2 linked regions of the Zea mays genome follow. Each later gene encodes a partner of the first gene's protein in a complex. Links are inferred from orthologs where the notes say so. Each region holds a gene or a part of one and is shown in the gene's direction. Other genes may lie near its edges. The genes, in order: Nuclear-pore anchor and Nuclear pore complex protein NUP35.

Region 1 (3,820 bases):
GGAACCTGTCGGAGGTGCGCCAGGCACTGGCCGACGACTGGAGGTGGGAGGCGGCGGGGAAGAAGGCCGCGCGAGCGGCTCTGTGGCCAGTTCCGCCAGGGAAAGAGGGCCTGCGCCGATGCACACCAAGGGTGGCGGCGCGCCAGCGCGGAGGAGGGGGCGACGTTCAGGGATGAGCCCGCGCCATGGCCGGGGAAGAAGGCTGCGGCCGCGCTGCTCCGTGGCCGGTTCCGCCGGGGGAAGAGGGCCCGCGCTGGAGGAGGGGGGCAGGCCGCGGCCACGCCAGCGCGGAGGAGGGGGACAGACGCGGAGGTCCGCGCCCACGCCAGTGGTGGATCTGGACCGGCGGACTGGGGACCTCCCGGGGACGGCGGAGCGGAAGCTGGTGGCCGGCGGCTTGGGCGTTGGGATGAGCTGGCGGCTGTAGGAGGGAAGCGTGGGAAACCTAGCCCTCTGATACCATATTGGAATGTGGAATGCTTGTTGTATTGCATAGGAGATGGGGTACAATATATAGACTCACAAGAAACCCTAACCCTAATGGGCCGGCAGCCCAACAGTGGTGCCAGCCCACACACACACATAGTCTAACAGTCAGATTGCAGCAACTACTCAGCTTAATTTCATTACCACAGAGGAAGCTAAGGATGGGGGTAGGCATATATAGGGCAAGGATGTGCCTTGTAAAGGAACTAAGAAAATAGAAATAACAGAATACCAAATTCCACATACCTCTATCTTCTTCCGTTCTGCCTTCTTCCGCCCTCTTCTCTTTTGGAATTCATCTCGCCGCCGCCGCTGACTCGTCGGGACGTAACATTCCTCTACCCACTCCATATACTGTTGCTCCCTCTCTCCACCCTCAGTCAAGGCTGACACTGGAGGATGAGCTGAATAGCTCGATAGGATGTCTACCTCTGTCCTGCACCACCATTCGTCCATCCTGCCTTAGATCCCTTCAATCACCAAGCTTTGCCCTCTGTGGACAACAAGGTCGAACTCCTTGTTCCTGGAATTGGGGTTGCTGGGGTTAGGCAGTTTTCTTTGATTTGGGGCTGTGTGAGGTAAGTTTGAGGTTACGCTTGGAAGCCCAAACACTAAGATTTTTTGTGCAGCAGATTGTCAAAAGGTGAAAGGCGGCTATATGAACTTTGTCAAAGTTAGAGAAGTTTGACTTAGGACAAACTAAGACTTTATTTACATTTTCTAAAGAGAGGAACTATGTTACCGTTTTTCTGAAACATAGGAACCAAGTTGCAAATTTGACTGTCCTTGTTCAAAACTATATATTTTAAAATTAGAAGTAATTATAAATTGTTCCTGATTTTTTGTGGGTTGCCTTCGATCGAAGTACTGATTGCGAGCATTGATTTACAGGACAAGAAACAAGTAGAGGAGTCTATAGATAAGCATAAGCAGGCTGTGAGAGAGTTGATTGAGGTACACTTTTGAATGCATTTTTTATGGCAAGTTACTGGACAAATGTTTCAATTTTTCCTCTTTGTTTAAATGATCCCTAACTTTGATAAAAGAATACATCAAACATTGTCTTATGTCCTTCTATATCAGAACTGAAAGTTACAACACATTCTTTTCAGAATTATCCTGGATTATCATCTGAAGTGCCACCTATCTCTGCACTAGAAGAGCAACTTCTTTCATACTTCCGTGCAGCTAAAGATATGGAGGAATCTTCTAGTCCCTTCCGTGATGGTGCAGCAACTCAAACTCCAGTTGTTGAAACTGCCCCTGTGGATGCACCTACTTCAGCTGGAGGTGATTCAGTATTAATTTTGTTCTGACATTGCTGCCATTCTATTCATTTTGTAATGATTCAGTACTCATAAGTCATTCTGAAGCATTTGATGTTGTTTCCTATGTGATGACATTTGATTCATTACTCTTCCGGTCAATGTGGGAGCTGATAAGTCGTTCAGTTGCAGGACGTCCAGTAGATACTTCGTCAAGGCCAGCTAAAGCTAAAATGACGGAAGAAAGAGCAGTTCCCAAACCAAGCAGTGAAGTACGTAGGCCTGGAGGAAGAAGACCCCTTGTTCGTCCTACTCTTGAACGAACTGAAGAACCTCATGCTGATACAGATATATCAGCTGTTGATGCCTCCACAGTTCAGGACAAAGGGGGGCCACCAGCAGAGCAAGAAACTTCTGGAATTTTACCTGTGTTACAGCCTTTGAGTCGTAAACGGCTTATCACATCTTCACAGACGGTAGACAGTGCCTCGCAGGGTGAGGCTAATGATGTCAATCCTCCATCTAAGAAGCCCAAGGAGGAAGAATCTTCACAAGGGACTAGTGAACTCAAAAGTGGTCAACCACCTCTTGGGGATGTAGCGGCACAGGTTAATGTGCTTCCAGCCACTGATGACCTAGATGGACAACAGCCTACAGAAGAGATCGATACTGATCAGGCACCTGAGCCAATGGTAGAGGTTGAGGCAACAAGGGAAGAGGATGGGGGTGATAAAGATGACTCTGGAGATGCATCAACGGACATCAAAGGCCAGGATGCTGATGCTAATATTGACGCAAATGCAATTCCTTTAGAAGAAGAGCATGTAGTGGCAAAGTCAGAGGCAATAATTGAATCATTTGATGATGACCGGAAAACAGAAGATTCGAAGGAAGATGCTCAGCGTACTACTGCAACTGATGTTGATGATGACATGGAGGAGGGAGAGTTGGCAGAGGAACCTGAAGACAAGAGTGACGTTGATATGTCAGAGATCGAGGGTGAGGCTACAGCCGAACGTGCTGCTGTGGAACCGGACCAAAGTCCTATAACACAACCTGGTGCAGCTGATGCCTCACCAAGCAGAACTGCAGATGCATCTCCTGCTCGTGAACCTTCCCCTAGTCCGGTCCAAGCTGGTGCATCTTCTCGACCCCAGAATACTAGCACTGCAACAGAGGCACGTGAACCTTCCTCTAACCCAGCCCAAGCTGGTGCGTCTTCTGAACAGCGGAACACCAGTACTGTAGTGGAGGCTGCTGAAACTCGTTCCAGAACAATCAACTTAAGTGAGAGGGCCAGACAAAACAGGCAAACCAGGTTTCAACGCGCACAACAACCTGGCACTGCTCGGGGTCGTGGCCAGCAATCTGTTACACTCAGGGTATGGTTTCTTTATTCTTGTTCATTTCAGTTGGGTGCTTATATCCAGCATTGAGCTGATTCGGGGCTGCCTTTGTTTTGCAGAAAGATGCTACGGGTCGAGGATCAAGGGGCCGCGGGGGGCGTGGTCAGTCCTAGTAAAGTAGATTGTCTTTTCTCGTGCAGGGATAATTTTGTCCATTGGGATAGAGACCCTTGTATTTTTAGATTGATCGACGAACTTCATGGGGATACAGAGACCCTTGTGTTTTTAGATTGATCGACGAATTTTGTCTCATTGGTTTTTACTAAATGTTCCCTGACCTGCGTGCGAATCCTTGTGGGTTCTGAGACCGCTATATCTAATCCAAACTGTTGTGTTTGTTGGTACTATGGGCTGGAGCTGCACCTCCTGAATCCCAATAGCACTAGCATTTTTCACATAGCCATAAAAATGATGCTACGTGAAGCATTCCTTGGGGTGGATCCCTACCCGGGCTTCTAAACCACGACTTTATACATGACTTTCATTTCTCTTTGTATATGGACTAAAATGACTTGTTAGTGTTTATACACCCCTTCTAAATATGCATGACTTTCATTTCTCTTAGGCTGAGCCCCTAAAACCTTATGTACTTTAAATATAGAGGACGAAACGGTTCTCTACGCTCTCCAGCAGTATCCTCTAAATGATCCTCTAAATTTAGAG
Region 2 (4,383 bases), on another chromosome or scaffold:
TAGAAAAAGCCCTATATTTTAATTTGAGGCACTCATTTAGGTCACTGTTGGAGATGCTGTAAAACATACATCATCACGAGCTTTTACACAATCATCAAGCCATACCAAAATAGACTCCAAAATAAATATTGTGATAATCTGATTGTGCATTTGAGCATGTGGAGAACGAAGCACAAAAATAATAAAAATCCACCTAGGAAAATTTCTTTTCTTACGAATCAATGTGGAACTTCAGCAATGAACATTCCTCGAGCATGCAAATAATCCACTTCGAGCAAAGAAAAAAAGATAAGGTGTACTTGGGACTCTATGCATATTTGCCATAAATATGGAGAAGTATCACACAAGGAATAGCAAGAAATTCCTATAGTGTGTGGATAATCGACTTCTAATGGCAAAAAGATAAAGGCACAAGCAAATCTATATGCATATTTGCAATAAGAGAAAGTATCCCACAAGGAATAGCATAACATTGTCTCTCACATACCAACCTGCATTGCTATTACTTCAACGAATCTTGCATCTTTCAATATGATGCAATCTAACCTCATAGCAAACCTAATTCTACCACAAAAGCAATCCATGCAATCGCCTAACAATGTGACCCTTTTGTTTTAAAATTTACTGAGACATCAAGTTTAACATCTCAAGTCGCAGGTTGACTGGTTTATAAAATGCAAAAGATAGAAGAAACACCCAAAGTCCTTATCCGTGTAACATAACAAATATGAAGGCACGCATAACAGCATTGCAATCCACGTTTTAGAGCAACAGAACAGCTACTCCCACCAATTTTAACACCAAATCCAAGCATGCTACTCAGAAAATAAGCTCGCAATAGAATTCTAGCTGGAATTGATCATCACACCTTCACTACGAAGAGCACCAGGAACACGAGCACTGCCTGGATCTCCTGCAAAACCAAGCACATCAACACCGATTCGCATGAGCGGATGAGCCAACACAACTCAACAACCAACCGAATGACACGATCCGGATCGGGCACACGGGGATCTCCGAAGCTTACCCTACGGAGGAGGCGGTCGTGGAGCTCCCCTCCGTCGTCGGCGGAGAGCGCCGCGCTGCGGGCCGCAAAGTAAGAGAAGAAGGCGAGGAGATGCAGGAAGTAGTAGGGCTCAGAGATGGCAGCGTCTAGCCACGGGAACGGGTGGCCCTGCCCCGCCGCGCCGCCGCTTGCCGCCGGCGCAGACGCCTCCGTCGCCGTCGCGACCTCCATTTTACGAGCGACAAGGAGCCTGGCGTATTCTTAATTTCTTCATCGCCTTCGAGTAGAGCCGAGAATCAAAACGCCAGCACTCCGACATGTGGGACCTGTAAAGTTCTAGGGTCCACATGTTGGTGACACAAGCGTTCTGTTTGCCTCTTCACATTCACACACGTGAGGCTTCCAAAAACCCAAGGCGCACTCGGCAGTGGAACTCCGCTTTCTCTTGCTAGGGTTTCAGCTCTCCGCCACCGTCATGAGTGCCTCCAGGCCGGATCACCGTCGCCGCCACCCGCCGTTCCTGCGGGACCTCTCGTCCCCGATCTCCTCGTCGTTTCGCCTCCCACCGGCCTCGATGCGGCGAGAGGCGCAGGCCTCCACCCCGCCGCCGCCTCCGCCGCTGCTCTCCCTCGACGACCTCTCCCACCTCTCCCCCTCCAGGCAGCCGGCCACGCCTCCGCAGGCGACGACGACCCCCTCGCCTCAGCCCCCGCGTGGAGCCGTTCTCTTCTCCTCGCCGCTGCGGTCCAACGGCTCGCCGGGGCCCTCGGCATGGTGGACCCCCTCGAGGGAGGAGAATCCCAGGGAGGGATCACCGATGGATGGCGTCGTGCAGTACCAGCAGCAGTCCCCGACGACGCCGTCGGGTCAGCAGTCACAGCAGCAGAAGGTAGCGCTGATCACGCTGCCGCCCCCCAGGGAGGTGGCGCGGCCGGAGATGCCCAGAGATTCGGCTCCGGCTGCTGGACGGGTCGACGAGGAGGAGTGGGTCACCGTTTTCGGGTATGTTGCCTCGCCCCCAGCTAAGTCGATGCAATGGGTATGGTAGGATGTGTGGATTATTGTATAATAATCTGCTGCATTAGATTCATACAGTTTTATGTTTCGTTTTGTAATTAGATTAGTATAGTACAGTACGCTTAGAGGCTGGTTATGGCATCTGTGCGTGTGGAATTGGTAATGTTTCTTAAACACTCATCTGATGCTGCCAGAGAGTTCCCCTTTGAACATAAGCATGCAGATTTCCAAGAATTTTATATCATCGGTCTATGGACTTCTTACCCCCAACATAACTCCAGAGATTCAGAGAACATAGTACAGTAGGGTACAAGATGATTTTGATGCCTACATTACCAACATTGTCTAAACAGGGACCAACAGATTAAGTTTCCTAATTGAAAATACATTTTAACCATTTAATATGTTGGATTTTTATCTTTGACAAGCAAGTTACTATGAGGAACTTTAGAGGTCATGAGTTCGAGTGCCGGCATGTTTGCAGTTTGGGTTTATTAGCCATGTTGGGACATAATACCGGTACTCTCACCCCTTGGTCGGGTTTGCAAATTTGTGAATCGATAAGGTCTGATTTACTTTTGGTGATTTTAATGATGAAGCTAGAGTATGGCTATTGACGTGATTGAGTTCAACGCTGATTGGTGGAATTTTTTGCTGAGTTTGTGGCACTTTTGATAGCTTCTAGCTCTCTAGTGTTGAAGGTAGCATGTGAAAATTGGATCATGCCTCATGGGTTAAAATAAATGTAGTTGTCTGCGAACCTAGAACAATAACGTCAAGGGGTATTAATCTACTCCCTCTGGTCCAAATTGTAAGTTGTTTTATCTTTTTTAGATACATAGATTTTACTATGTATCTTGACATACTGCATATGTAGGTGTGTAGCAAAATCTATGTACCTATAAAAGCCAGAACGACTTACAATTTGTAACAGATGTGGTAGTTTATTAGTAGATTCTGCTAGTATCAGTTTTAAACCAGGATACTTCATATTTTGTTCAATGGTGTTTGTTGATGTGCCTTCTATCAGATCATGTTCTTCTTTTCCCATGTGATAGAGTTACACAATGCTCATATCCAATAGATTGGTTATCCACTTATCCTCTCCCATGATAAAGCACACCTTTTGTTAGTGTCATACTGATAAAGTTGGCTACATGTTGGTGGGGAATGGAAACATGCATTATATATAGGGATTTTACTTTTTAGTGCACAGTTTTTCAAACTTAGGAGAGGAAAATCCCAACAAATATTAATCATACAGTTTTAGGATCTCCCCTCTTGTACTGATTTAGTTTTTATTCTATTTTCTCACCTACATTTACATGCACTGCTGCACTATATGGTACCCTAAATGTTGAAACTTGAAATACAGGTGTCTACACTTATCTATTTCTGTTTACAAGGTGTGTTAGGATTTGGGGGAAAATATTTAGAAGCATACTTCGATGTTGATTTTGGATTACTCTTACATTATGTCATCAATTGCTTCAAAATCTGTTTGTTCAAATGTGAATCTATTGATGCAACTTTTATTTACTAAGGGCTAGTTTGGAAACTTTAATCCCCTCCGGGATTCCCGGGGACTTGGGGGGGGGGGGGGGGGGGGGGGGGATGAGCTAATTTCCCACTCAATCTCCGGGAATCCCGGAGGAGATTTAAGTTTCCAAACTAACCCTAAGCATACATATAATTTGAGTAATCATTCGTCAAAATCTATAAAGTTGCTTCTAAAATTATAATACACCTAGTATTTTGAAGCAGAGAACTTTGGTTGATCATGTGCTTTTGAAAAATCATGCTATCCATAAGCCACCACCACCAGAATGCCCTTGCGCGCTTGATTCTCTGAACATCTGAATAGCTTGAATGGGTGTGATGGTTGGATGTTAATGGTGTTTTAGTGTTATAATTTATTCCATTTTTTATTAGTCTTCCATTCCATCTCTTTTTTTATTTCAGATTTTTTCCTGGTGATACTAACATGGTGCTGCGAGAATTTGAGAAGTGTGGGATAGTCTTGAGACATGTTCTTGGTCCAAGGGATGCGAACTGGGTGCATATCTTGTATCAGGTAACTATTAACAGCTCTATTCACACATTTTCATGTTTGACGTGTAGATGCGAACAGATAGTCATCACTGAGAATAGACCTAAACTAATACAGTGCTCCCTCCGTCCCAAAATAGATGACACTTTTGATGTGTAGATTTCATGTTTGACTATTCTGTATTATTCAGTTCTTTTGTGCAAATAATAAAATAAATGACATTATTAAAGTATCTCTTATGGTAAAATAAGTCATAACAAAATAAATAACATTTATATACAAAAAAATGAATAAGACGAACAGTTAAACA

What was found.
Region 2: Nuclear-pore anchor (region 1) and Nuclear pore complex protein NUP35 share a complex: the UniProt entries of both Arabidopsis thaliana proteins name them as parts of the nuclear pore complex. The link is inferred for Zea mays from reciprocal best matches to the Arabidopsis thaliana genes NUA and AT3G16310.

What each region holds. Positions count from the first base shown.
Region 1 is NC_050099.1:187,942,443-187,946,262, forward strand, and holds the end of Nuclear-pore anchor, read left to right. Parts: intron 1-1,377; coding exon 1,378-1,440; intron 1,441-1,598; coding exon 1,599-1,776; intron 1,777-1,937; coding exon of another isoform or gene 1,938-1,943; coding exon 1,944-3,133; intron 3,134-3,216; coding exon 3,217-3,270; 3' UTR 3,271-3,470; downstream 3,471-3,820. UniProt on the Arabidopsis thaliana protein: Component of the nuclear pore complex. Acts as a docking site for activities required for desumoylation and mRNA export. Required for the proper expression or localization of a subset of miRNAs.
Region 2 is NC_050103.1:23,275,516-23,279,898, forward strand, and holds the start of Nuclear pore complex protein NUP35, read left to right. Parts: upstream 1-1,382; 5' UTR 1,383-1,481; coding exon 1,482-2,008; intron 2,009-3,985; coding exon 3,986-4,097; intron 4,098-4,383. Other genes in the region: uncharacterized protein LOC100274262, read right to left, coding at 869-913, 1,028-1,237.